Arabidopsis thaliana: one gene and its partners. The protein of the gene in region 3 interacts with the protein of the main gene of each other region in a pairwise test. Each region holds a gene or a part of one and is shown on either strand. Other genes may lie near its edges.

Region 1 (10,191 bases), on a different chromosome or scaffold from region 3:
CAGTTTGTTTTTCTAAATAACAGGCCTAGGCCCAATTAGTAACAGATACAGTGTTTAACATTACTGTAACTTTTTCAACGGTTGAAATTCTCTTTTAAAAACGGTTGTAAATGTTTTCATAATAACAGTTACTGCAGCTTTTTCAACACTTTTAAAACGCTTTTAAAACAGCTTATTAATCGTTTGTAAATCTCTTTTAAAAACGGTTGTAAATCATTTTAAAAACGATTGTAATTTTTTTTCATAATAACCGCTACTGCAGCTTTTTCAACACTTTTAAAATCCTTATAAAGCAGCTTGTAAATCGTTTAAAAACCCTGTTTAAAAACATGTTTAAAGTCCTTTTCCATTCAAATCAAAGCACCTGTTAACCCAAACAACCATTATACAGTAATTTTGTAAAACAGGAGTTGAACTAAATAAACTTCATAAATCTTGTTCCATACAGATGTTCATAAAATATTCAAATGACAAAGTTTTATGAAATAAGAAACAAAAGCTGATAAATCTATCTTATACTCCACTACTTTTTGATTAGAAGTCTGCTACTTCTACAAAGTGACTGACCCTAATTCAGTGAAGATGTCAGCAGCCAATTTATTCCTAACGTTTTGAATTATGTTCCCTTCAAAGTTTGAATGGCTGGTATACATTGAGTAGCATTCCATAAACTTCAGCATATAGATACCAGACTCTTCATTTCTAGGAGCCTACAACCAAAAACCAAAAGAATTACTTAAGCAAAGAAGTTATAGAAGTCAAGACTTACGGAATATTCATTTCTAAGACTATGATATATTTAAAGAAGTTACCTGAGGAAAAGTGGTCAGGACTTTGATGCTAAATGGAGAGACATCCATGTCTTCTTTTTTGAGGATGTTCCGAACAATGTATGGCATAGCTATAGAGTAGGCAGCAACATATTTTTTCTTGACTTCTTCTATTAAATAAGAAGGTGCACATTCCCATATACAAACTGTCTTCTGTTCCAAGTGGATGAGTAAGGCAACCTAGCATTTTCCTTTGATACAGAAAGGAACCGATACGCACTTGGTTTCTTCCTCTATTATCAGCTTACTGATTTCTTCAGACTGAAACTGAAATCCCTCTTTGTTATCCAAAAACTCCATGTATGACTCATCAATCACATTTAAGAAAGACGATCCCACAAATACAACTGATTTGTTTTTGAATAATTCTGGATTGCTTTCCTTCCTCGTTTTCATCAACTCCAAAGCTGCATCAACATGCTAAACACAACAAAAATAAAAATTATCATATTAGAAAACCCCTTTAAAAACGATTGTAAAAAATGCAAACCCTTTTTAAAATACCTTGTAAATCATTCTACGCCACATACTTATGCTTTTTAACGATTGTAAATCAAGTTAAACACTTTTAAAAGCTTTTAAAATTCCTTGTAAATCATTCTATGCCACTAAGTTCTGCTTCTAAAACGATTGTTAATCAATTAAACCCTTTTTAATATCTTTTAAAATCCCTTGTAAATCAATCCTTACCACTTTCTAATCCGTTGAAAACGATTGCAAGTCATGTAAATCCTTTTTAAAATACCTTGTAAATCATTCTTTACCACTTTCTAATCTTTTAAAATTGTTTATAAACCATGTAACCCTTTTTAAAATCCCTTTTGTAAATAACTTAATGATGCTTTAAAAACTATATGTAATTCATGGGTTACCAATTTTACAAGGATTTTTAGACATACCGTTGTTGTTATTGCTTTTCCTGGCGTCTCTAGGGTTGTAAACCACTTTGTATCTACAATATTTCCCGCGATTGATAGTGGCCTACAACAACAAAACAGTCAACAATGATGCTTCTTCCATTATTAAAAAGAACTCTCTATCTTACTAACAAAACTCACTTGTTTTTCCTTGACTTCTTCCATTCAGCCAATTTCTCAAGTCTTGTGGCATCAACTTTCGCAAATGGATGCAAAATTGGATGCTTCTTCTTCTCAGCTGTGAAAGGTGCTTGGGTATGAATGGAAGGAACCGTACCCCGCTTACTCTTTCTTTGCGGAGCGGGCTGAAAATCATCATTGTCGCCATCATTATCATCGTTATCACCATCATTACCAATAATTTTCCTTTTCTTACTCTTTGCCTATCAAAAAGAATAAAAAAAACAGATGTTTAAAATACCTTGTAAACAAAATTTTCAAAATCATAATAAATTAGATACTAACCTCTTTCCTTGTTGGAACATCAACATCAGCACTATCAACTTGTTTCTGCCTCTTTCTCGGCACCTAGAATAGTAAAAAACACCAATTAAAAGTACTTTTGAAATCCCTTGTAAATATCATAACAAGACAATTGAAAAATTTTAAAAACAGTACTGTTGCAAATACTAACCTGTTTTCTTGTTTTAAGATTATCCTCAGCATGAACACTTGGTTTAACTCTCTTGTTCTGAAGTTGCATGAAAGATAAACTTTTAAAGATTTGAAAAAAATATTATAAACACTTGGTTAGATAATACAAATTTTTTTAAATGCTAACCTCATTTCTTCCTCTGCTAACTCTCTTCTTATCCTATTGAAATTTGGTGTAGAGGATCGTGGAGTATGAGACTTATCCTTGAAAAGATAACAGAATGTAAAATTATAAAAAGGATACTAATCATTTTTGTAAGACTTTTAGAGATATAAATTACTGTACTTTTGATGATTCTTCAGCTACTTCATCACCAACATCACGTTGGGTGTTTTCATCATCACCCGGATAGCTCCCATTCTGTGTGTTTGGCTCTCGGATTGAATCTTCAAATGATTCGTTGTCATTCTGCAACAAAATAAAAACAATAAGTCAATCATTAATATAATTAGTAGACCTTTAAAATAGCTTGTAAAGATTTTCAATTACCTCTGCTTTTCTTTCTAGTCCTCCTTCTTCTTCAGCCTGCGAAAAAAAAGAGTACATTGTAAAGGTTTACTACGTATTTAACCTTTAAAATACATTGTAAAACATTTCCTTTCAAATAGCTTTTAAAGAACATTTACAATTACCTCTGGTTGTCTTTCTACTCCTTCATCTTCTTGTTTTCTTTCTTCATCTTCCTCAGATCTCTGATTATTCTTTTCCTCCATTCTAATGTCCAAAATCCTCTCAATCATCTCGACTCTCTTGTTAAGATCTTCAAGGATTGTCAAAATCCTGTCAAGCTTCTCGCTATCAGATATTTTGTTATTGATTTTGTTTTGACCTACTTCTTCAAGGGCAGCACAAACATCAACGCATCTTGTATTCCATTCAGTTTTCTTCAATCTGTAGCCCATATTAACAAGTCCCAAAATATGTTGGAATTCTATGTCGTCTGTGTGGAAATCAGGAACTAAAGACTTGAATTCTTCTGGGTTTCCAATAATTGTATTCACCTCCATCTGCGAAGATACAATAACATTACAAATCTTGAGAAAGCAGAACTTCAAATCTAAAAACCATTTAAAGAATTCTGTAAATAGACAAAAGCTTACCTCAGAAACATCATTTACAAGGTTTACGATCTTGAAAAACTCTGGAGTAGTAGTGCTTTTCCACTTCAATATCAATGGATATTCAGATTGGAATTCTTTATCTTTAACTCCATATGCTGCACCAAATGCTGGAACTGCGCTCAACACCCATATTGTTAGCGCTAGTCCAAATCCTCTCAAATCATATTTCTCTTTTGCCCAAGTTTTCTCGTCCATTCTCAGAATTGAATTTGATAGAACACTGAATGCTTCTTTACCCCACGGTTGGGCTGTGTACATCTCAAAATCAGAAGCATGCTGCAATCTTGGCAAAGGTATCTTCTCTTTTCCATATGGTGTCAAAAGAATTCCTTCAGTCAACACTACTGCAGCAAGACACAACTTTTCTTCATCTTCAACAGCAGGTTCACCTTCCTTAGGTTTTAAAAACAATCGATCTTCGAGATCACCAAGAGTATAGGATCCTTTACTAGCCCAAAAGTATGGTTCTTTTACAGGATCTTTTCCCTTTCGTCGAAGTTCCCTATGAACAGGTTCACATTGAATTCCTGTATGAACAAAAGACAGTGTAGAGACTATTATTACAGGTTTTATAGTAAATACTTTAAAAACGATTGTAAATCATGTTTAACACTTTTAAAAGCTTTTAAAAGCTTTTAAAATCCCTTATAAATCATTCAATGCCACTTACTTATGCTTTAAAAACGATTGTAAACCATGCAGACACTTTTAAAATCCCTTGTAAATCATTATATGACACTTACTTATGCTTTAAAAACGATTGTAAATCATGTTTAACCCTTCTAAAAGCTTTTAAAATTCCTTGTAAATCATTCTATTCAACTTACTTATGCTTAAAAAACGATTGCTAATCATGTTTAACCCTTAGAAAAGGTTTTAAAATCCCTTGTAAATATTCTATGCCACTTACTTATGTTTTAAAATCGATTGTAAACTATGCAAACACTTCTAAAATCCCTTGTAAATCGTTTTAAGACACTTACTTATGCTTTTAAAATCCCTTGTAAACGTGTTTAACACTTCTTTAAGCTTTTAAAATCCCTTGTAAATTATTCTATGCTAGTTACTTATGCCTAAAAACGGTTGTAAACCATGCATACCCTTTTTAAAATCCCTTGTAAATCATTATATGCTACTAACTTATGCTTCTTAAACGATTGTTAATGAAGTAAACCCCTTTTAAAAGCTTTTAAAATCCCTTGTAAATTATCTATGACACTTACTTATGTTTTAAAAACGATTGTAAACTACGCAAACAGTTATGCAAATGCCTTGTAAATCATTCTACGACAGTTAATTAAGCTTTAAAAACGATTGTAAAACTTTATTACCTGTTGTGAGATAGAACTCTCTCAAGGAGAAACGGATAGGTTGAGAATCAACTCTAAACCAAAGAGTTGATCCTTTTGTTTTCACTCTCTGCTGCATGAGATAGTGAAAGATTTTTCCAGAAAATCTGATTCCCTTCTTAGCCTTCATTTTTGGTCCCAATTCAACTAGAGGACCAAGAAACGAACTTCTAATCTTCTGAAATAAATACTCGCCTAAAGCTTCCTCTACTTTACTAACTAAATTCCAATCCGAGTATTGTTGAACGGTTCCCAGTGTAATAGATTCCTCACCTTCTCTGTAGATTTGTTCAGGCAATGCAAGGATTTCACTCTCTGAATCCATCTGCAAAACATGTTATGAAACAGCGTCAGATCTACTATAAAATCGACTATAAAATCGACTATAAAATCGATTATAAAAACGGTTACCGTCGGATCTATCGATATCTCTGGGGATTGTTTGCGTCGTAGAGAAATGATCTGAATCCTTCAGCGAAGAACATGTTTATCGGAGAGGAAATTCGTCGGCGATTTTGGGGTTTCTCAGAGAGAAAATTCGTCGGCGATTGTGAGTGAAATCGGAGAGGAAATTCGTTGGCGATTTTGAGTGAAATCGGAGAGGAAATTCGTCGGCGATTTTGAGTGAAATCGGAGAGAAAATTCGCCGGCGATTTTGAGTGAAATCGGAGAGGAAAACGAAGAAGTTTGTGCCAAAACGAAGAAGTTTGTGAAACGAACGTGAAACCTAATCATTCAGAGGGTAAGACAGTCATTTGCCATATTAAAAGGGGCAGTTTTTAAAATGGCCTTCAGGAAAGGACATTTTTACAAAAGGTTATTAGAATAAGGATAGTTTTGCAAATCTCCCATCTCCCTTAAAAAAATAGTGCAATCTACATCTCAAATAAGATGATATATTATCCTTTAAAAAATAACATAAAATTACATAATTTCTCAAAAAGAAATAACTCCGAAAATTACACAAATATTTAGAGATATTATTAACTCTGATTTACTTTAATCGGCGCGTGATCGAGAAAGATCTTCTTTAACCTCTTTGCAACAAATCTACTCAAAACCCTAACCCCTTTTTCAAATTACTTCCATCTTTAGATCGAATCAAATCAATGTCCGTCGACGATCTCCCTCCGTCGTCGGCCTCCGCCGTAACGCCACTAGGCTCCTCCGTGATTCCGATTGTGAACAAGCTCCAAGACATATTCGCTCAGCTAGGAAGTCAATCGACGATCGCTCTTCCGCAAGTAGCTGTCGTCGGAAGTCAAAGCAGTGGCAAATCCAGCGTTCTAGAAGCTCTCGTCGGCCGTGACTTTCTTCCTCGTGGCAATGATATTTGCACGCGCCGACCTCTCCGTCTCCAGCTTGTTCAGACGAAACCTAGCTCTGATGGTGGATCCGATGAAGAGTGGGGCGAGTTTCTTCACCACGATCCTGTTAGACGTATCTACGATTTCTCTGAGATTCGCCGTGAGATTGAGGTTTGTTTATTCATTCTCTTCTTCTAAGTTCGTCATAGAATCTATTGATGATGATCGTCTAATTGTATGAATATGACAATTTGTTTGTAGGCGGAGACTAATAGAGTATCAGGAGAGAACAAAGGTGTATCAGATATTCCGATTGGTTTGAAGATATTTTCACCTAATGTTTTGGATATTAGTCTTGTGGATCTTCCTGGTATCACTAAGGTTCCTGTTGGTGATCAGCCAAGTGATATCGAAGCGCGTATAAGAACGATGATCTTGACTTACATTAAGGAACCTAGTTGCTTGATACTTGCTGTTAGCCCTGCTAATACTGATTTAGCAAATTCAGATGCATTACAAATCGCAGGAAATGCTGATCCTGATGGTGAGTCTTTGGAAGCAAGTCGATTGAGAATTTATCAGTTTCATTGGTATACTACATAGTGACATTTCGTTTTGCATATGAATTTGTTGTTCTCAGGTCATAGAACCATAGGTGTAATCACAAAGGTGCTATTTCTCTCCTCATAAGTTTGCTTTAGATTTAGCTGTGATGGCAAACTACTCTATTTCTCACGATTGCTCTATTTTCTCTCTGATTCAGTTGGATATTATGGACAGAGGTACTGATGCTCGGAATCACCTTCTGGGAAAAACAATTCCTCTTCGACTTGGATACGTGGGAGTTGTAAATCGTAGTCAAGAGGTAAACCCTGTTTTTCAAAAAATTTACGCATGTTTACTTATGATGTATATTGTTCTTGTCCTACCATTATGAGCTGTGACCACTTCTACTTTTGTGCTTGTGTGTCTTATTTCTTGCTATCACAATTTGTATCTCTATGACTCTTCTTTTCCCTTTGGATACTACCTGTAATATAGACCTTTTTTTTAGTGTTACCAAACCATTCTACTCTATATTCATTTTTCGTTTGCTCTTACTATGTGGCCACTGCCCTCTACGCAAGGCAATAACTAATGTGGGTGTTAATTCCTTAACAGGATATTTTGATGAACCGTAGCATCAAGGATGCTCTTGTTGCAGAGGAAAAGTTCTTTCGTAGTCGTCCAGTAAGACTGCATCATTCTCTCGATTTGTTTTCTGATAGCGTTTCCTTGACTCTTCTGCTTATATCTTCTGTTTTGGTTTGTTTTCTAATAAACAGGTTTACAGCGGTCTCACAGATCGTTTGGGTGTCCCTCAACTGGCAAAGAAATTAAATCAGGTATTATCTGCAGTCTTGAGATCGTCTAATTTCTTTGTTATGATTATCTTGTTATGCAGTCAAGACACGAGTGTCATAAGGAATACACTTTCTGGATTTTCCGATGTGTCTCTAATTGAGACAATAAATTGGCTTTTGTATGTAACATTCATGTTTCTTATTTCATTTAGCAGGAGGAGCTAGGATCTTTGTAGGACATTAGTGTGTATATATTTGAAAAACTCAGCGACATCTTCTCACTATTGTTGTTGATTCATATGGTGGATTCTTTTTCTGTGAATGGAGTAGTCCTTTTTCTAAAGATGGCATCTCATAAGTTTCATAGCTGGTAATATTATTACTAAAATTATGAGCTGTCTGATGGGAGCTAGTTCTTTTTCCCTTCTTTGCAGGTCCTTGTTCAACACATCAAGGCACTGCTTCCTAGTTTAAAGTCACGTATCAACAATGCATTGTTTGCTACAGCAAAGGAGTATGAGAGCTATGGGGATATAACAGAGTCTAGGGTATGTGGGTTTTGGCCAGTTTTAGCCTTATATATACCATCCATTCTCAATGATGGCATTGCTATTTGCTTTTTTTGCGTTGTATGATTTCTTGCTCAGTTTTCGTATTTGAATATAATTTTATTCATTTTTGTGATCCTCTTCTTGATATTCTTGGGAGCCTTTTCTGATTACTTTCAGTTAAACAAACTATCGGTAATTTATAGAGTTAGTGTTTGAAGATGTCAAGATATGTAGGGAAATATTTCTGACAAATTTTTTCTAAATATCTAGATATGCTCTTTCATTTCCGTATAAAATATGCCTACAACATGTGACTATTTAACTTACAGCTTACTCTGGTTTATAACTGTTTCGAAATTCATAGGGTGGTCAAGGAGCTCTTCTCCTCAGTTTTATTACAAAATACTGCGAAGGTAATATCTGAAGATGGTTCTGTTTCAGTTTAGACAATGGATGTTAGTTTATACTTTTTAGGTTGGTATTGGTCCTCACCATGGCTTAATTATTTATAACAGCATACTCCTCTACCCTGGAAGGGAAAAGTAAAGAAATGTCAACATCTGAGCTCTCGGGTGGAGCAAGAATTCTCTACATTTTCCAATCAGTATTTGTTAAGAGCTTAGAGGTTTGCTACATTTATAATTTTCCTTGATCTTCACTCAGTTATAACTGCCTTTTATTTTGTTTTTCCAAGTTTTGCATTACGTTATATCTTAGTTAGGTAATACTTTCATAATTTAATTTGGGATATCATTTGTGGTCTTCAATGGAGGTTCATTGTGTTGCTATTGATATAGAACCTATACACCTATGTGTTCTTCAATGGAGGAGATTCATTTTGTTGCTATTGATATAAAACCTATACTCGTATGAATGACTTTCTATTTATAAGATATTATTTGATTCGCTAAGCATTAGGCTATATCTTAGTTAGGTAATCACTGTGTGTAGATATCTTTGTTTAGTTAGTGGGGCTATTTGCACGGAAGGCAGACAGTTCGTTTCAGGTTTTCAGTTCTTGGAAGTGTGGCATGTTTGCAGTTCTTGTATGAGTAGAACTATGCTCAGTTGTAAATATAGTCAGTGTTTATATTAGTTCATATCCGTCCATCTTTCAAGCATCTGATCTGTATTACTCAAAATCGATCTGAATATTCTCTGTTGTATAGAGATCTTTACCTACTGATGTTGTCAGTGCTACTTGATAGGGGTTTAATGATTTTAAACTCATTAGTTTCTCTCAATTTGCTCTGAAGGAGGTTGATCCATGTGAAGACTTAACAGCTGATGATATTCGGACTGCAATACAAAATGCAACTGGTCCCAGATCTGCATTATTTGTTCCAGATGTAGGTTTATCTATATCCCTAAGCATGTGGGAGCATTTTTTTGCTTATCTGTTCTTTCCACATACTTATTTTGCTTGAGTTTTTTACTTTTACAGCAACTCTGATTAGTATCTCTTGCTTTCATTCTCATCTGCATAGGTTCCATTTGAAGTTCTTGTCAGGAGGCAAATATCTCGTTTATTAGATCCCAGCCTTCAGTGCGCTAGGTTCATCTTCGATGAGCTAGTAAAGGTGTTATTTTTATTTGCGTTTCTTTATGATGCTAACTGTTGATTTACATGACCATGAATTTTAAATTGAAAAATTATGTACAGATTAGTCATCAGTGTATGATGAAAGAGTTACAGCGGTTTCCAGTCCTGCAAAAGCGCATGGATGAGGTTATTGGGAACTTTCTGCGAGAAGGTCTTGAACCTTCGCAGGCAATGATCCGAGATCTTATTGAAATGGAGGTATGTATGGATAATTTAAGATCCACACAATCATGAATCTAATGGCCAGTATTATTAAATTTACTTAGATTGCGTACTGATTTTTTTTTTTGTCACACTGGTGGAGTAGGACCATGTTCTAAGTTCAAGAAAATTGATTACTCTCAATTTTATTGATTAGTGCCTCTTTTAAATTTAGTTTAAAATATTTAAGTTTACCATTTGCAGATGGATTATATAAACACCTCACACCCAAATTTTATCGGGGGAACTAAAGCCGTGGAGCAAGCAATGCAAACAGTCAAATCTTCTAGGATTCCGCATCCTGTTGCGCGGCC
Region 2 (10,191 bases), on a different chromosome or scaffold from region 3:
CCTTGTTCTCCGCCGCCGTAGCCACGATCACGACCTTGTTCTCCTCCTCCTCCGCCTCCGCCATAACCACGGCCACCTCTACCACGGCCATCACCACGACCTCCTCGATAACCACCTCTCTCCATTGGATCTGATCGGGAAACACTGAGTGAAACAAAGCTTTACGTGTTCAGAATTTTGCTGCTTCTAGTTTTGAACTAAACCAAATCGGAGGTTTATAATATCAGAAAGAAAGAATAAAGTGTCAGAGAAGCTATTGAAAAAAGAAAAACAGAGAGAACTTGTCCCTTAAGGAGTTATTAAAAAAAGTTCTCGAATGTTCCTTGACACAACCGTAAAATAAGGGATGTTGAATCGTCTTTCACAGTATTCTACTTGAGAAAAATAACTTCCAAATACATACAAACTTTTTTTTCTTCTTTTTCAACTGTCCTCAATTTTATTATCTTTGTAATTTAAAACTAATACATAAATATTTTAGTTTTAAGACCTTGAATGGGTGTGGTTTTTAAACTAGATTTTGGTTTAGTTTTTTTCAAAATCTATTTTATATCCATTCAAGATTTTGAAAAAAATAAGTTTTTCTAAAAAATAGAGAATCTAGTGTTTGAGTGTTTTAACAATTTTTCAAAGAAAACCAAAATCATAAAACCATCCATTACATTCTTTTATTTTATTTTTAGATTTTTTTGTTACAAAAATATTATCCATTAACATAAAAACCAAAATCTAAACAAACTACCATTCAAGTTTTTAAGAAACTAAAATCTACACCAAAAACAAAAACCAAGAAAATCAAAAACTAAAAACCAAAAACCAAAATCCAAAAACCATTTTTAAAATTACAAACATTCATGGCCTTAGTTTTTGGTTTTTGGATTTTGTAACAAAAGTAAAAAAAAAAAAAAAAAATCAAATGGAAAATTGAAAGAAAAAAGGATCTCGTAGAGGAAATTGAAAAAAACCCATTGAAATGAGATTTTGGATTTTGTTAAGAAATTAGTAAAAATTCTTAGAATCCAATAATGAATGGTTAAAAAATGGATTTTTGGAAAACCGTAAGGTCCATAACTCATGTTTATCTAGTCATCTTGAACCCACGATGTTGTCTTTATGACCACGATCTTTCTGTTTCACGTTTGCTCTTTGGAAATACATTTTGTCTTTAAAGTTTGTTATTTGTTGCGCTGTTACGGTTATTGTCTCTCTGATGAAATTAAAAGAATGTGTCGTGATTTAGCACTTGGGCCTTAAGTTCGATTAAAGAATGTGATTAGTACTTAGGCCGTAGGTTAAAACTTTCCTCAGCCCATGTGTGTGGATTATCAACAAACAAGTATCGTACGGGTCGCCAAAGAACATACAATTCGAATGATTTAATTAACTTTTGTGAACGGATGCACAATACCAAATTGTGATTTAGCATCATCGAAGTCATAATCAATATGAGAGAGGATCCACCTATTATGTTACGGCTTTACACTCTCTCCATGTGCGAACCCTTATAATAGCTTCACCAAATACCGTAAGTTGCGAGTTTGTTTACTTGCTCAACATTGGTCAAATGCCCTTAAACCCTCACTGCGACACCACCACCATTGCCCGAACAGTTGCTAAATCACTATTTTGTGTAGTTCTCCTCGTGTCGGCGAGAAGCTTATCTTTAGCCCCCTCATCAACGATATTTCATCTCTCGACATTAACAATTCGTTCACCCAATGACTCGCTCTTGGAAGAAACTTCGACAAACCTTGACCTTACATGTTCTACAAAGCCCCTTAGCTTTTGGTTCAAAGCTCTCAAAAGATAATTTGTCGATTAACTCTATCTACTCTCTTATTTTCATGTTAGTAATTTTGGGGTATACCCTTTATTATGTTGTTCTAAATTTTGGGATCTTAGAGTCCTTTTATCCTTGTATGTGTTAGCTACTCTAATGGAATGAAAACAAACCTTTGATTAAAAAAAAAAAATCAATACTACTTTTAAATTTTCCAATTTCATTGCTATTCTAAAATATGCGTATAACAAAGTGAATATCAAATTCAAAACTTTTTAGTTTTGGTCAAAGTTAAATTCAGAACTTACTAGCAAAGTAACAATATTAAGCTTACAAGATTAATTATTTGTTCATTCCATATGATTATGCACGTCGTCTTGACTTAAAGACTCATAAACCTTTATTAAACTAACACAATTTCATAATTGTTGTGTCCTTTCAAACAAGGCAAAATTACACCGTTTTTGAACTCATAGCTTGTATGACTCATCTTCATATCTAGATAGTCATAAGAACGATCGAAAATATCTCATCTTATCAACCAATAATTCCATTGACTTTTAACGACTCGTCTGGCATGATTGAATATTGATAGTTTAAATTTATTCTTCAAATAAAATTTTAATTGCTTGACTCAAACGACCAAAAGGCCAAAATCCAATATATGTTATGAGAGGCATGTGCTTATGTATAATGTAAGTTTATAAAGCTAGCTAGTATTTAAATTTTATGCAAACCTACTTGACCACCAAATTATATACCAATTCAACTAAAACGATTCATATACCAATCATAACATAATCCGAATATATAAAACATTAAACTTTTTAAGATCTTTCGTTGCAATTTCCAAATAAATTTTTATTAGCTTTTTTTTGGTAGGATGAATTTATATTAGCTTTAACAACGAATGAGGTGGTTTTGGATTAGTGATTGTATAATAACAGTGGTTGTGCGATTTCGAAATCAACACGACTAATAACTTTTATCAAAAGGATTCGTATTCTGTATGATGTAAGTAGAAGTAAAGTCAGCGAAGTACATTCGTACGAATTATATATATGTCAACAACGAGCTTTTATAACATTCTGTTCGACCTATTCCAAATTGCTTTTTCAAATAAATTTCACCGATTTTTTTTTCCTTCTTTTAAAGTTTGAAGTTATATATTTTGTGAAGATTAACACACCACAAACCAAGAACGTTTCAGCTTTAGAACCAACTTCGACTTAGAACCAAAAACAGAACCTTTGTAATGAGAAATGCAGAACAGAACACACACACAATGGTAACCCAGTTCACACCAACGGTGCTACGTCTGGGCCGGGAACTCTCTCCCGGAATCCACTATATCAACCTTTAGAGATTTACAAAGAGATTTCTCACCCTCTCAGCCCCTTACAAAGCTAACTAAGATTCACTCTCTTTCACTCTCTGTTTCCCCAAGAACACCCAATACAAGTTTACTCTCGATTAAGTGCCTCTGTGTTTCTTAACTTTTCTCTCTCTACAATGCTCAACTTAAATAGAGCAAGAGATTTTAACCTAGTCTCCTTCTGGATCCTTCTCGGTTCCTCTCCTCTACACGCTCCTCTGCAGTAGCCTCCAAGCTTGTCTTGTAGCCTGCTTTGGTTCAGGCGTAACGGCTCTTCTGCCTTCACACACAAGACAAGAGTTGTCTCCTCCGTACACCATTGCTTTAGCGGACAAGCAAAACGGGTATTCTTTGTCTTGTGGTCCTGCATATCCACGTGTATCAAGCTGAGCTGGCATTGTCTTCTTTTTCCCGCTTCAATTGTTGTGTTCTTCTTTACTAAATCCTAACATATTTATGATATTGTTGGTTACACAAAACTGACAAGTCTGTCATTCCTCGTACGAGTCTTAGGTCTCGCGTCAAGCCGAGCTCAAAACCTCTATGTATCCTTCTCTACCCATGATCAATTTTTTTTGATAAAGCTGATCAATTTGTTTATAGCTTAGTATGTCGTTGTAAGACAATCACATCAATGTTCATTTGTTGAAACATTCCTCCGATACCTCATCCACATGGATTAGCAGCTTTAAAAAAGTTAGAAGTCAACTTAGGGTTTATAATTTTTTTTGACAATAAAAAAGAATACTATTATTGTATTACATCATGTACTTAAAAACGTACACTAAGTACATATATGGACTGTGGAGTGTGACGGCTTATCCATATGCCGATATTTGTATAACGTGGGTAACATGATGATAGGTAAAGTTTTTCAACATGTAATATTAAACCCAACATAGATATTTATACAGTTTGATCAAGTGTCAAGAAATTTGACCTATACAATAATATCTAACCTTTTTGATTACTTTTAGTTTATTACTCCCGTATACAACGAGAAAAATATAACACCTAATTACAGTTCATTTTATTTAATACTAAAGATTTAATGACTATATATATGAAATTGAATTTCTTTTTCTCTATATATATCTTTATCTTTATAAGTTATAACCAAGAACTACTATCATGATTTATTTTATTTTGCAAGTGAGAACATATTCAAGAAATTTATATGTGTGTGTATGCCTAGAATTAGTTTAGACTTTTTTTGAGTATTTCAATATCTTCTAAACAAAACATGTTGACAATTGATTAATTAGTAATGTCGACACTTACTTTGATTGAGGTCGAGGGTTCAAGTCTTGTCTTATATAAGAAGATTAAGACATAATGTACTTTGTATCAAACTCAAAAAACTCCACAAGAAACAAATAGAAAGATGACTAAATCTCATGTCATTTTCTCTGCCTCCATCGCTCTCTTTCTCCTACTCTCCATCTCGCATTTCCCGGGAGCTCTCTCTCAATCCAATAAAGATTGCCAATCAAAATCCAACTACTCATGTATAGACAAAAACAAAGCATTAGATCTCAAACTCTTATCAATCTTCTCAATTCTCATCACTAGTCTAATCGGTGTTTGCCTCCCGTTCTTTGCCCGATCAATTCCCGCTTTCCAACCCGAGAAATCTCACTTCCTCATCGTAAAATCTTTCGCCTCCGGAATCATCCTTTCCACTGGTTTCATGCATGTCTTGCCTGATTCTTTCGAGATGCTTTCATCTCCTTGTCTTAACGATAACCCCTGGCACAAGTTTCCTTTCGCCGGCTTTGTAGCCATGATGTCTGCCGTGTTCACGCTCATGGTTGACTCTATTACCACCAGCGTCTTCACCAAGTCAGGAAGGAAAGATCTACGTGCTGACGTAGCATCCGTTGAGACTCCTGACCAAGAGATAGGGCACGTACAGGTTCATGGCCATGTTCATAGCCATACTCTTCCTCACAATCTTCATGGAGAGAATGATAAAGAGCTTGGTTCTTATTTACAGCTTCTGCGGTATCGTATTCTTGCAATCGTTAGTATTCCTTCACTCTCGTTTTTTTTTTTTTTTGTAAAAATAAAACTCTCTTAACTTGATTTAATTACAAAAATGCTTTTTTAACATTAAACCAGATAAATTGTTTTTTTATAAATGCTCACATTGAGAAACATTTGTGTTAAAAGCTAAGTGAAATTGTTATAACTTGGTTCGTTTATAGGAAAAAAATGATTATTCACATTATCACATACGAAGGCATTAATATGCCATTTTTCTAAGGTTAACTGGTAACTCAAATTTTAATTGTAGGTTGCATAGTGTAAAACAAAATTGTTACCCTGTTTGTTGTGTTAGTTAGAAAAATAAAAATAAAACACAGTTCTTTGTTAAAAAAAAAAGGAACAAGTAATTTTTCATTTTAATTTATTCCACTAATTATATTTCATCTTTTGCTTTTATTTGAGTGACAACCATTTACACTAATTATGATTTAATAAGTGAGTAGCTGAAATGAATAAAATGGAATAGGTATTGGAGCTAGGAATAGTGGTGCAGTCGATAGTGATAGGACTATCGGTAGGAGACACTAACAATACTTGCACCATCAAAGGACTCGTCGCTGCGCTTTGCTTCCATCAAATGTTCGAAGGCATGGGTCTCGGCGGTTGCATCCTTCAGGTGAGTTCCTCCTTTCCACTTAATTTATTAGTCGGACCGAGTAATTACTCCCATCCATTCTGGTTCTATAAACTAAATTCCACATGATTTTTTTTTCTTCCTTTTCTTGGTTTAAACACAAAAAGTTCCACATGGTTTGATTTCTTGAAAAACGTCGTGCTTTTGAATGAATTGATATGAAATCATATATATGATGAGAACTTGATAATACATGTAGGCGGAGTACGGGTGGGTTAAAAAGGCGGTGATGGCTTTCTTTTTTGCGGTGACGACGCCTTTTGGAGTGGTTCTAGGGATGGCACTATCTAAAACATACAAAGAGAATAGCCCTGAATCGCTTATAACAGTTGGGTTGCTCAACGCTTCCTCGGCAGGACTACTCATCTACATGGCTTTAGTTGACCTTCTAGCTGCCGATTTTATGGGTCAAAAAATGCAAAGGAGCATCAAGCTTCAATTAAAGTCATATGCTGCCGTTTTGCTTGGTGCTGGTGGCATGTCCGTCATGGCCAAGTGGGCTTGATGATGTTTAAGTTAAGAGCGGAGCTTACAAATAGATGTATTGACTTTTTCTCTCATTTGCACATCAAATATTGGGCACATATTTTGTGTACTAGCTAATAAATGTATATAAAAAGCTGTCTTATCTAAATAAAAGCGTATGCGAAGTTGAATTTGGATAGTGGTAAACTAATACAATACTAATTCCACAATATTACATTTAAAATTTTACTAAGTAGTATGCCATTTTCACAAGTTTTTAGTAAATATCGTACGTTTAACTTGACATTTATGGAATGCAGATTAATTACCAATATTTAATAAATCGCTAGATGGTATTTAATCGTTCTAGAATCTAGCATGTACATTTTAAGGGTTAATAGATTATTTACTTATTTTTGTAAATTAAAATTTTTTATCTCCAACTTGAACCAGTATATTAAATATAAATATTTAAATATATAATCATATATGTGCAGTATAAATCATCAAGATACATATACTAATTTGTTGTGAACAAAGAGATTTTAGGGAATTGTGCATTCTGTTATCAATCAATTATACAAGATATGACATATACATTGAAATACAACATTAGAGTTTATGTTAGAGATTAAATCTTCTAGGATCTACTAATTGCCGTATAATGGGCATCCATATAACTTTTCTATTGTTCATAATTTAATTTAAATTGTTCTAGTAAAATGTCAATGCAACTGACATAACACCATATCGTAGGCGTTAGATATATTAGAATCAAATATGTAAACGAACTAGATTTTAACCCGCGGTATACCGTGAGAACAATTTATTTTTTAAATTAGTATATATTAAAGTTGCAAATTTTTAAATCTATTTATATAATATTTTTATTTTATAGTTTACAATTGTTATTAAGTAACGTCTTGTCAAACCGTCCCGCCAAATCTATCCCGTAAAAAAACCCGCGGTACACCGCTAATTTAAATATATAATTAAAATAAATATTTTACGGGATTGCAATTGTATTTTGGTTTGTCAAACAAATATTTGTTTTAAATAGTTGCCAAAATCTAGCTCAAATTTTGGAGAAATAAGATTTATTGTATAGATAAAGAATGTATTTAGGTGTGTTTTGCTCATTTTAAGGGATTTCAATTGTATTTTGGTTTGTCAAACATTTTTTGTTTTAAATAGTTGCTGAAATCTAATTCAAATTTTGGAGATATCTGCGTGACATATGAGATTAGAATATATTTGGAATATTTTTCGTTTGTTAATTAATTTATTACCCAAAAAAACCAATAATTAAAAGTTAGTGGCAGCCATTGTAAATAAGTCTCAACTCCAAGATTTATTTCACAAAAAGGCTGCAAAAATGTATATGTAGATATGCAAATAATAAAAATTATTAGTACACACACTTCTCATCTGATCCAAGTTCTAAAATCCGTTACTTAAATTATGCATAAGATGATTATGATGTAAAGTAAAACTTTAGATATGAGTTATAGCTCAATAGAGAAAGTGTGATATATATTTGTTTTGCCTTCTCAACATTATTAAATCAAGTAGTTTTAACAAAGTAAATAAAAAAGCTGTTTTTTAGAATATAATACAAGGTAAAACACAGTTTAAAAACTGTATATATATTATATAATATTTTTCTTTGTGGAAGATAGACTCCATATCATAAGACTGACTCATAACTGAAAACAAAGTCTTTTCTATATTAGACAAAGTTATAACTGAAAAAAATCTGTTCTACATTGATTTTTTTTTAATATATAGAGTAAATTTTCAAATAAATTAAAAAATAAAACTGTTTCTTAAACAAAATAACTCCCCTTTGCCAAAAAACAAAAAAAAAAACAAAATAACTCCCAATAGGATACTATACCAGTGATTTTATTATAGTAATTGTATTTTAAAAATCTGTGATTTTATTATCGTAATTGTATTTGTGAAAAATAGACTATGTATCTTGGATCATTGAATGAGTGTCTAAATTAAAAACTAAAAATCAAGATATATACAAAATCTGAAATTTTAAATACATTTTTTTTTAAAAAGTGAAAAGATTGTTTTTCCATCCCATATATAAATGGCCTCAAGACTAGCTAGTACTCTCACAAACCAAGCTCATCAAGTATCCAAATACAAACATTGTTTAGCTATGACCAACATTTACTTTAGGACCGTAAGTAAATGAGAATTTTCATTGGTATTTCAAAAATTGGTGAAAGTATTTCCAAGATTTTTCATAATTTAACCAATTATGTTTAGCAGTTTGTGATCATTTATGCTGGCTCTAAATTAAATTCAAGCGTATTTTTGCTTAAATCTATGTTCTATTATATTTATGAATTTATTTTTTCTTAGATTCTTGTATGTCATGATAATACCAGTTGTATACTAATTTGACATTTTTTTCTTAAAATAAATTGAAGAGCAAAGCATAACAATCGAGGCTAGTGAAGGCAAAGAATGTGTAGGCAAATGTTATAGATCCACTACTCCTTCTCCTTCGATGATAGATTCAAAAGAAGGAGCCAACATAGAATGCATAGACCAGAAAGGACTTAGCATTAAATGTCCTCCTAATCTTTCCCTTTCAATGCTAGATTCAGAAGAAGGAGTACTCAACCAAGAATATATGGACGGTACTAAAGAATATAAAAGAAAATGTCATTGCAAGTGTCATAAACATAGACCTCCTACTCATTCACCTTCAATGATAGATTCAGAAGTAGATGTCAACAAAAAACATAAAAAAAAATGTCATTGCAAATGTCATAAAGCTAAAGCTCCTAAATAAATATTATATTTAAAATAGATGTAACTCTGAAATATATATTCTTCATATAATTATTATTAATAAAAAAAAAGATCTATTCTCTATTTTTGTTTGATAGTGATACAATCAATTTCCAAATGACAATTCTTAGTCTTATAACATGAAATCTTTCAAATTTTTTGAAATGTGTGACCGACCTCTAGAAAACAATGTGAGATCCAAAAACCAAAATTGGTTTAGACACACGACAATTGTGCGAGTGAATCCGGCACAGATAAATTGGATGATAAATCAAGTCGGGTTTGACGATGATTTCAACAAGACTCGAGCTTCACCACGAGAGAATTGACTAATTGGAATTTTGTTTATGATATAGTTGCACATCATGGAGGTTGCCTACGTACATTTGTAATAAGATCAAGCCATGTGAAGTTCATACTAGAAAGGGTCTTTTAGGTTTTTGTGTGAGAGATTTCATCCAAATAGATGATTATCTCTTTATATGAACATGTAGTCAGTTTCGAGATATGTAGAAATTTTTTATTTTTTGAAAGGAGATATGTATCTTTTCTTCTTTTCTGGGATTCTTAACTTATCTTCTTAGAGCACCCACATTGGTTGGTTTCTAATATGAGTTTCTTCAAATTGTTTATTGGTTAATTTTGATAGTTTTGTAATTTAGAGTTTTTTGTAATTTTTATGGTTCAATGGTAGAATCCTTAAGAGGGTTTCTTAAAAAAAAAATTTGGAAAACAAAATGGTTAAGTACATAAGTTAATAGATGAAACTCATGAAATAAAACTCATTACTCGATTGTAACCAAAATGGTTAAGTTCAGACCAAACACTCACATTCATCTATTAATCGATATGGTTGAGTTCAGACCAAACACACACATTCATCTATAAATCAATATGGTTAATTTCAGACCAAACACACACATTCAGTCATTAATGGATATGGTTAAGTTCAGACCAAACTCATTAATCGATAAAACTCACAACAATACATACATTTAAAGCATTTGGTCTCTTCCACAATTGATGTTGGCACCATTTCTATTCTTCGCAGTCCTGCAAAATGAAGCAAATCAT
Region 3 (10,191 bases):
TCTCTTTTTCTTCTTGTGTATCCAATTTTAGAGATTCTTCTCCGTTTTCTCTTCTTGGTTTTAGTAGATTTTTTAATCGGTTCTCGGTTTTGAAGCAAGTCAATGAACTGAATCCGGGTGGGAAATTTAGAATTCTCCCATATTTTTTTCTCCTTCAGAGGGCAAGGGGGCCTCCATGCAACAGGCGGCACAATTCGACATATGCCATATGATTCTGCTTTAGAGCGCAACTTCTCTATGTAACCAAGTGGATCATCAAAATCCTGACCATGAAGCAGTATCATAAGGATCAAAATTTTCAGATAAGATAACAATTTAACTACCAAGACAGAACCAAAATTGCAACTCGAGTATTTTAAATACCTCATTAGTGGGATAAAAGATGGGAGCGTCATCAACCAAAGGCCTGCAAGCTTCTGATGGATTCCACCTAGCAGTTATCTTCAAATACGCAACAAAACGATATCATTCATGAATCAGATTCATCTGCTCTTGGACAATCAGATAGCTAACACAACAAACAATCTAATAAGATCCAGATGAGATTGCTAAATTCTTAAGACCCAAGTAAATAGATTTTGCTTAATCTAAAACAAATACAATAAGAACGACTCTCAGAAAGATGAGATCTTTGAAGGAAGATACTGATAAGCAAAAGCCACGAACTTAATTAAAACTAGAATTGATTGGATTTTCAGACTCAAACGGGTTTAGCACATAGATAAGCCATCAACCTCTTTACCCAACCAATACTTTGCTAGAAACCCAATTAACTTACTTTAGGACTAGAAGGAGTAGAGTCAGGTTCAAGACTACTCTCTCCTTTAATCGATTGTTTCTCAGAATCTTCCTGCAAGAAATAAACACAATTCCACATTCAGAAACTGCAACAGTGCTAATTGAATCTAGCAAACATGCAAATTAGAGGTTACAAATGGAGGAGAAAGCAAAAAACACAAATCAAAGAAGCAAAAGGATAAAGATGAGAAACCTCCATAGCCACAGACTCTGCTAGAGATGCAAGCTGATCCATTTACAGTGAGATTAAGTTCACAAAGATCGATACTTTTAACCCGTGACCTAAGGAAGAACAAAGATCTGTTAAATAAAAAACAAACCCTTACTTGATGAAATGCAGTGCCGTTTTCGAAACCCTAAAAAAACCCAGAACGCATATAGATTTGTGTCTGGAAATAGAGAGTGAGATGATAAGTGTACCTTCGTGAAGGGGCCAAGATTCGGAACAAAAGCTTTTCCCAAGATTGAATTTGACTCTCGAATTTTATTTGTAACGTATAGTATAAATCTAAAACCTTTTGGTTAAATATCTGTGAAAGAGGTTTTTTTTTTTCTTTCCTTCTTTGATGAGTTAAGAAAAAAAAAACTTAGAGAAGAATTTATTAGGTTAACGATTAAAGCAAGTAGATTTCTTGGAGTCCGATCTAAGAAAAGGGTTTAGAACATAAAAAGAAGAAGCCGCCAAATGTGATTTTGTTTTGTAATAAAATCTTCAATCCATTTATACCAAATAAAATTCAGTAGTTTTATAAACAGAAAATTAAAAAAAAAAAAAAACTGAATTAATCTTCAAATTAAGTAGTTTTGTTGATTTGTATATCTGAACTAAATTAAACAGTTATACTATTTACACTTCATTTTTACTAACCAAAAAGAAAAGGATTTCAATAGTTATGATTATTGATTCACATTTATTAGAGACAGTAGGATCATTATTTACAACACAAAAATTAAGTTGTATGGGAACTACAATGCGATAGAACTAATACTGATTTGTTTTTTAGTCGGTTGATATAATTCATTTTAATGTAAAAAACTAACAATTGATTAGAATTATATTTCCATAAATAGAAGAAGTAGTTGAGAAATAAAAGGTATAAATTATCTTGAATTGGTCTTATCTAATCATCTATTGTAGATTTTTCTCATTGTTTCAATGTACTATATACTTTGTGAATTTTTTTTTGTCATTTTAGAATTATATAAAAAGATAAGAGAGAAATGAAAACTTGAATACAAATGTGAAAGTGATAGAACAAAGGAGTGCATTACACAATTTGCTAGTGACTTGAGAGACAAACACACAAAGTAAGCCACAACATCTATAAAATGGTCACACACATGTTGCTGAATTTTTGGCCACGATGTTTTAGACGACGGAGGTTGTGGTGGCGGTGGTGGAGAAGTTTTTAGAATTGATTAAGAGGCGGGAAATAGAGACGGCGGACACGAGGAGCATTAGAATGACTCCGGCGAATGCTGCGATGATTGCTCCTGCGCCGTGATCACAGTAAGTGGTGAACCTGTCGCAGACTTTGTTCCACTTGGCGTGCTTGTTTCCGTTCTTCCCTAGCTCTGCCACGAACACCGCCGCGTTTGCAGCCGCAGATACTAGTGTTGCGTTTAGCTTTTTTTCCAACGTTTTTTTAGATTATCAAGAAACCGTTTAGCTTTTTTTCCAAACGTTCAAACTAATTCAATTGAAATCAAACCAGTAAATTGATTTGAAAACCAATGTTTATACCATGTCAAGAATGGCGATAGAGAGGAGACGAAGACCTTTGTACTCCAGTTTCCGGCTGAAAATCTGAACCACAATCATCAACAAGTTGTGGAAGCTCACCATTACATTAGCTATAACAAAGAACCTGTAAAACCAAGAATCAATGTTAATAACTCAAAAACATTTTGCTTTCAATATGTATCGAATCGATTTCGTATAGGGTTTTACTCGCTTACACAAAAGCCGGTGTGTGCTGAAACTTAGCGGTTAAAGTGGCTTTAATAGGAACAGTACCAATGGTGGCCACAACCAAGGTCTTTGTCTCTTTGTTTAGTGACATTACAATGGCTGCAGCTAAAGTAGCCATGAATGCAAATATTCTCAGCCCCAAGAGTAGTTTCCAGCTCTTTGTGGTACCACCAGCCACCACAATCTTCTCTCTGGCCATTGTTGATGCAGTGAGTGATCAAGAGAAAGTGATGAAACTTTGTGTCAGTGTTAAAGAGTATTTATATGGAAAGAGTTTGGTCTTGTTGAGAGGTTTTGTCGGATCATCTAACTTTAATGTTCTTGGAGGGTACTGACTGATTAGGTTATGGTTGTTGTGACAAGATTACTGCAAAATAGATTTCCAGATTTCAAGACTTGCTCTAAGACAAGTCTTATCTACCAAAGCTAAGACCAGTTCTTGTGACATGTAGCATATCTCATCCACGGAAGAGACAGATTTCAAACCCAAATCTTAATGATTGGTTGGTGTATCAGATTATATTCATACATACATTAACAATGCCACAAGGGCCGATGGAGTTTTAGAAGTCAACAAACAGAAGAGAAGGTCAAGTTCCATGGAGCAAAAGAATGCCAAATTATTCGAGCAAAAACCTTGTGTCTTCAACTTTGAATAAACCCCAATAATGCAGTAACAAGAGATTCTGATAAGCTTTTTCTCTTGGGTTAAAAAGGAGTCAAGAGATATATAACATACAGTTTTTCCGCGTATGTAATATGCACAAACCAAACGCAGGAATAGAGGAAGAATTTGGATTTGATCTTTAAGATCTCACTCATTCTTGATTACTTTTTGTCAGTTGTCACTCCAACAACAACATTGCTCACCTGCAATTTGTGTGTTTCAGTCACTTTGTCATATCTTCCTCTAATGTGGTAAATAAGAAGAAGAACACAGGTGATAGAAATACTCACCAACTTTCCGCTTTCATCAACGGACATGGGGTTTTCTACAACAACGGTTTGGGTCTGAGAGGGTGGTGTTGACTGTTGGTAAAATGAAAAATCGATGAACAGAGTAAGTACCAGTTCCATAAGAATATACAGAACTATTACAAATTCATAATTTGATAACTCACAGTTGATGTAGAGGGGGGACAAGCTGTTCCATTTGGCCGGTTAGTTGGGAGAGGTACCCTTCCATTGCTCATCTAAGGATGCAAAATGAATCAGAAATGAAAATTTCCAACAGAAAGATCTCTATACTTAACTCAACCATGCAGAGGTGGCTTAATAGATAGGAATAATCACATTAACGTTAGTTACGAATTGACAAACAGCGCATTTGACGGATGATGCACCGTAAGGATACATGAGGGTCGTCCGACAATGCCCACAATTGATCTGCGCAACCTGACTGGAAGGAGCATGGGCAACCTGATTGGAGTGCGCTGTCGATTTCAAAAAAGACACGCACAGATTCAGAAAACAAGCAATGTTAATGCTAGAAAAATCCAAGAAATACTAATGAACGAAGTAATCAGCAATGTTCTTAAGCAGTCATGGATAAATGATAATCATACAGCTAAATGACAACAGCTTAGACGCTAATTAAAGATAAGAATCTAATGGTAGATCAAACAAAACAATAATAAACCCTACTAGCTCTAACAAGTAGTTACCTAGTCCACCGGGACCATCTAAAAGCTTTGTTTTAAGTACTTTCAGCTGCTTTACAAATCCCAGATATTTTCAGAATTCAGATTCATATACATCTTTGGGAAAAGTGGAAATACGTTACGTAAGCATCATCTCCACAGAACAATGTTATCAAACAAAAGTGTGAAAGAAGATTCTAAAGGACTAAAAGACCTTATAAAGCAATATAATACATGGTCTTTAAAAGGATTGATATGGATGTCACGATATTATTAATATACCTGGCACAAGGTTCGTAGTTTGACAGCAAGAGCATCTTACGCTACTAGCCCCACGCGTATACATAAGCATTGTTCTACAACCACCACATATAATGTGTGCCATGTCTGTATTCAGAATCAGAACCCAAGTTATAATACAATTGCAGAGCATATTAACCTCATCCTCAATTCAAATTCAACAAAGAAATCGATACCGTGAGGTGGAGGAGGAGGAGGAACCATGTTGATAGTGTTACATAACGCACAACGCACATTAGATGCTCCTCTAGGATACATCAATAAATTCCTACAACCATGACACACCAGCTGGTCCTGCATATCTGCTACTTTCATCCAAACACACACAAATTGCTTCAAAACAAGACCCACACAGATGAAACCCTAAACATTTCACAATACTTAGTCATTGCAAGGAAGCAATTGGAGATTCAAATACCTAAAAACTCACCTGATTAACAAAAAGAGCTGATTTTGGAACGAAACCCAAATCCAATTCAAAGCCAAAAACTTCTGCATCCAAATCAAAACAAGAATTGTGTGTTGAATCAAACAAACAAACAAGGACAATGATGAGATTACAGAATTGGCGAAAATTGAAAAAAAGGAACAAACTTTGGAGCTTGTTCTTACCGATTGGAGAAGGGTAAGGAATCGAATCCAAAACCCGCGAAAGCTAGAGCGATGATATGCAGAAAATCCAATCCAAATTGAGGAGATAGACAATAGATTTCGATTTTTCTCTCTCTCTATCTCCAAAATCTCAATGCCCGGATTTATCTCTCTGTTTTTCGTAATTTACGCTTCTTTTTTTTTTACATGACGCGTAAGGGTTTTTTTCTCGGTCATAAACGCGTATATACAAACGCAGCGATTGGCTTCTGCTAATTAAATATGAATTTTTATGCCAAGCATACGTCCATAGATCAATTAATTATGGGTAAAAATATATTTTCTAATTTTCTGCAAATGGTGTAATAATATTAAATTATTTTTTGTCTACCCCTTTGAACCAATGAAAATTCTATAATATTTGTGTGTTAAATGAAAAATCGTACATGCTGCCAAACAAAAAATTCATAATAAATAAATGAAAATCGCATATAAACTTTAATCAAATGTTCTGAACATAACGTCCCACGTATGTTTTCGTTTGCTTATTCATATCGGAAGAAGAGTAATTTGCGCATTTCATATTACAAATTGGGGAAATGGACAATAAATTGGAGAGCAAAAATCATAGCCATCTAACCTCACACACTTTTCTTTTTGTTAGGTACCAGAAATATCAAGAATCACTGAGCTAATTGTATTCTCATGACTTTTTGTGGTCAGCAAATGAAACTGGTCTGCAATAGTTTTTAGAAGTCTTTATCGGTTTATTTCTCATGTGTTTTGTCAGAAATTTCTTAGAAATTTTTGTCTTCCAAACTTGGGGAACTAAATTTGTTTGGAGTGTAAGAATACACGGTTGAGCTTTTAGGTAATACACTTGTTTTTGAAAGGTATAATGAATTTTAAAAAAATTACTTTATCAACATTTAAGATTTGGAGACAATTTTGAAATCACGTTTGAAAACGAATTTTTTGGCCAATTGTTCACTTTTCTGTCGTTATTATACTTCTGTTACCTTGTGTCTATTTGTTAATTTACTTGTTTTATTTGATTTACTCCATTGTTTTAAAAGTTTTACTGGTTTGTTTTGTTAAATTGATATTTTTGATGGTATTAATTAAGTTTAGTACTACATTAAGAAAAGAAAAAAAAGAGTCTAGTACGTATGTACACACCAACCAGATATGTGAACAATTATGGCGTCAATTTATCTGGAGCATATATACTTTTATATGATGGTTTAGGTTGAAGGAGTTATTCTAAAATGCATTAACATCATACATAATCGGTGTAATGTAGTGTCCTTAACTATTTAAATGAGTGACATGTGACGCAAAATGCGTGACGTACGCAAATATGCAGCATATTATATGCTTGTGACATTATTTTAAATAGTTCATGAAGTTACAATGATAAGTCAGAATAAATTACATACTAGTGGCTAGCAAGAAACAAGTGGATGATGTATAATTTGGAATATGATTATTTCTGTTTTATACTGGTGGGTTTTGGAATAAGAATACTATAAATTTAGAAAAAAGGAAAGAAAAAAAAAACATGAATTATAAGTGATATACGTACGTTGAACGAGTTGTAGATTCTCGAAACTATACACGAAAAGACCCTGGTAATGATTTCATTGGAGAGAATAAAGCTAAATAGCTAATTATTGCAATTCCCAAAACGTTATATAAAGAATAGCAAGTAAGGGTTCATAAGGTAAGAAGCAAAACATTTGATTGAGATACTTGAGATCCAAGATAAATATGTCTTTAAGTCGTAGAGATCCTCTTGTGGTCGGCAGTGTTGTTGGAGATGTTCTTGATCCTTTCACGAGGTTGGTCTCTCTTAAGGTCACTTATGGCCATAGAGAGGTTACTAATGGCTTGGATCTAAGGCCTTCTCAAGTTCTGAACAAACCAATAGTGGAGATTGGAGGAGACGACTTCAGAAATTTCTACACCTTGGTGATCTTCTCTCCTTCATTCCTCTTATCTTCATTGATTTAGTTCCTCGTAGCTCACTCTTTCGTTTTCGTAAGCTCCATATATTGACGAAGAAACCTTAGATATATCCAAATTTAAGCGTAACTAGATTTGATCATTCTTTTCTTTCGTAGCCTCATCTATATACCTGCTGCGTTTCCTCTAACTTCTTGCATGCATAACTGTTATTGGTTTGATTATTATTTTAAATCAATTTTGAATCTTTCTCGATTATATATATTACGTTTTCAAGAGACGGTTAACTTGATTTTGTTTCGCTTTTATTTTTATTTTAGTTTTTTTATTCTAGGATACATACCTTTAGAAAAGCATAAATATCTTAATTGACACTTATTTTAACGACTTTTGAATCTGAATAGTAAAGCCAGTATTTTTAGATACCCTTATATTAATGGAAAATGTTACTATTACCTTTTTCTAATTTAAGCTTCTTCGTCTTTACTTCTTTTTCTATTAACTTTTGGTTAACTTCTTCGTCTTAATGTGTGTTATCACTTTTCAAGAGTTAAAAAAAAAAAATCAAACTCATGATTTAATTTCTTGATTGCTTTAATATATTCATAATCGATCTTCTCTCTTATACGGTTGTTGATGGGTTTAATAAAGGTTATGGTGGATCCAGATGTGCCGAGTCCAAGCAACCCTCACCAACGAGAATATCTCCACTGGTTTGTATCATATCTCTTCATTTCATTTAACTTAACTTTAGATCGTGCATCACACTTATTTTCGAGTATAAATAGAAAACAAATAGGTAAGGTATATATGGGAATTAGAAAAAGACTTTAAAATTTAGAGATTCAATACATATCTCAAGTGACACACAAAAAACGATATTTTAGATTTTTACTAATAATAGAAGGGGACATACAGAATCAACTTTAAGAGAGCAGCAACTTGTCAAGAAAAAAGATGTCTTACGTATACATCCAACATAGAGACTTTAAACAGGAATAGAACATGACTTTGTGGTCAGAGTTAGTTTTTGTTTTAGTGTGTGTGTGTGTCATGTTATATCATAGCTTGCACGCAACAAACGTCTATTCTTCATAGTCTGACCTTTTCTACATGCTTTAGACGAAACTTTCAAAAACTTTGATGCATGCTTTGTTTTTTAGTCGAATTTAGTTAACTATCTGCAGGTTGCACTGCACCATATCTTTAACTTTAATGGATAATACTCTCGTTACAGGTTGGTGACTGATATACCTGCCACCACTGGAAATGCCTTTGGTAAGTTTAAGTAACTCTGTATAGATACATTAGGTAAGATAGATAAAACTCATATCACCAAGCTTAGGCTTTGAATAGTGTTAGCATGGAGCATATATATTCTTAAGAAGATATCTATTTTTATATAGCCTTCTTAATTTATATGTATGTTGCAACAATCAAATCTTTAATCTATATAAAATAAGCGACACAAAACACTTACCTAGTGGACAAATTAGGAAGGGCTAATTAATATTTGTGTTTATGATTGTTTATCAGGCAATGAGGTGGTGTGCTACGAGAGTCCACGTCCCCCCTCGGGAATTCATCGTATTGTGTTGGTATTGTTCCGGCAACTCGGAAGACAAACGGTTTATGCACCGGGGTGGCGCCAACAGTTCAACACTCGTGAGTTTGCTGAGATCTACAATCTTGGTCTTCCTGTGGCTGCCTCTTACTTCAACTGCCAGAGGGAGAATGGCTGTGGGGGAAGAAGAACGTAGATGCGTACCTACTTACGTTAACTAATAATCTAATCGTATAATATTCCCTTAATGAAGTATTTAAGCATCTATGTCAATGTAATAAGAATTTAAAGATACGAGCTAAAAAAAATGATGCATATGCTGACATCGATGTAAAGTAGTTTACACTTTTAATGTAATAACTAGGTTTTAACCCGCGGTACACCGCGAGACTATTTTGTTTTTTTAAGAATAAAAATATAATTTGTTTAGTCGATTAAAAATATATGATTTAATATTTTGTATTTTCTGAATATACAACTCTTATATCTGTATATTATTTAGTATACAATTACTATGTTTAACTTTTACTGTTTAAAATATAAGAACAATAACGTACAGTTCATTAAGTTAAAATCTAGATTATAACTAAATAATTTAAAATTTAATTATATTTTTATTTTATAATTGTTTTGTTTAGTATTTAAGATAATATAATTATATTTTGATTGTTATATTTAGGACTTCACACGTGGTATACCGTTTCGTATTACTATCGACTCAAACCCGTCCTACCATCTAATCCCGTTCAGTGAAACTAAACATATCTAATGGATTTCACCCGTGCTATACCGTCTCGTATTACTGTCGACCCAAAACCCGTCCTACCATCTAACCACGTTCAGTGAAATTAAACATTTTGTTTCTGTTATTTTTGTTTAAATAATACTTTAATTTAAAAGATCTATAATTTAAATTAATTTAAAAATTTATTTCAAATGGTTATTTAATTGTTATAAAATCCATACATTATAATATTGTAAACATGTCCCACCATCTAATCCAGTTCGGTAAAATTAAACATTATTACTTTTTGTTCTAATAATATTTTTATTAAAAGATTTATAATTCAAATCAATTTAAAAGTGTTCTTTTGAAATAGTTATTTAATTTTATAGATTTCATATATAATATATATTCTTAACGTTTTTTCGTTAAATATTCTAAATATTTTATAAACTTTAAATAACTATAATATTTATCTTTAATAAAATATAATATTAATAAAGTCCTAAAATTTCTTTTTTTTAAAAGTAATTAGAATTGATGGAGATATATTAGATAAGGAAATGCTAATAATTAAGAATATTAATTAATTGATGATAATTAATGCCAATGGCATTCTTTGTAAATAAGTTCCAAC

The links.
Region 1: the proteins of LSD1 (region 3) and DRP3B interact in binary tests that used the Arabidopsis thaliana proteins (3 or more experiments, as listed by UniProt).
Region 2: the proteins of LSD1 (region 3) and ZIP10 interact in binary tests that used the Arabidopsis thaliana proteins (3 or more experiments, as listed by UniProt).

The regions. Positions count from the first base shown.
Region 1 is NC_003071.7:5,955,806-5,965,996, reverse strand, and holds the start of DRP3B (dynamin related protein), read left to right. Parts: upstream 1-5,888; 5' UTR 5,889-5,981; coding exon 5,982-6,350; intron 6,351-6,440; coding exon 6,441-6,723; intron 6,724-6,819; coding exon 6,820-6,848; intron 6,849-6,942; coding exon 6,943-7,044; intron 7,045-7,340; coding exon 7,341-7,409; intron 7,410-7,504; coding exon 7,505-7,564; intron 7,565-7,956; coding exon 7,957-8,070; intron 8,071-8,437; coding exon 8,438-8,486; intron 8,487-8,588; coding exon 8,589-8,698; intron 8,699-9,007; coding exon 9,008-9,097; intron 9,098-9,329; coding exon of another isoform or gene 9,330-9,332; coding exon 9,333-9,422; intron 9,423-9,560; coding exon 9,561-9,653; intron 9,654-9,736; coding exon 9,737-9,874; intron 9,875-10,081; coding exon 10,082-10,191. UniProt on the Arabidopsis thaliana protein: Involved in the control of mitochondrial and peroxisomal division and morphology.
Region 2 is NC_003070.9:11,171,711-11,181,901, reverse strand, and holds ZIP10 (zinc transporter 10 precursor), read left to right. Parts: upstream 1-4,539; coding exon 4,540-5,178; intron 5,179-5,670; coding exon 5,671-5,820; intron 5,821-6,037; coding exon 6,038-6,343; downstream 6,344-10,191. Other genes in the region: AGO2 (Argonaute family protein), read right to left, coding at 1-125; AT1G31270 (uncharacterized protein), read right to left, coding at 3,244-3,435, 3,473-3,553. UniProt on the Arabidopsis thaliana protein: Probably mediates zinc uptake from the rhizosphere.
Region 3 is NC_003075.7:10,999,846-11,010,036, reverse strand, and holds LSD1 (LSD1 zinc finger family protein), read right to left. Parts: upstream 5,521-10,191; 5' UTR 5,323-5,520; intron 5,203-5,322; 5' UTR 5,141-5,202; exon of another isoform or gene 5,026-5,140; coding exon of another isoform or gene 5,011-5,025; coding exon 4,887-5,010; intron 4,798-4,886; coding exon 4,693-4,797; intron 4,608-4,692; coding exon 4,576-4,607; intron 4,481-4,575; coding exon 4,435-4,480; intron 4,204-4,434; coding exon 4,064-4,203; coding exon of another isoform or gene 4,043-4,063; exon of another isoform or gene 3,964-4,042; coding exon 3,892-3,963; intron 3,800-3,891; coding exon 3,728-3,799; intron 3,641-3,727; coding exon 3,599-3,640; 3' UTR 3,249-3,598; downstream 1-3,248. Other genes in the region: JMJ14 (JUMONJI 14), read right to left, coding at 1-263, 364-441, 779-850, 992-1,033; AT4G20390 (Uncharacterized protein family (UPF0497)), read right to left, coding at 2,168-2,425, 2,543-2,666, 2,758-2,969; TSF (PEBP (phosphatidylethanolamine-binding protein) family protein), read left to right, coding at 7,072-7,272, 7,918-7,979, 8,504-8,544, 8,803-9,026.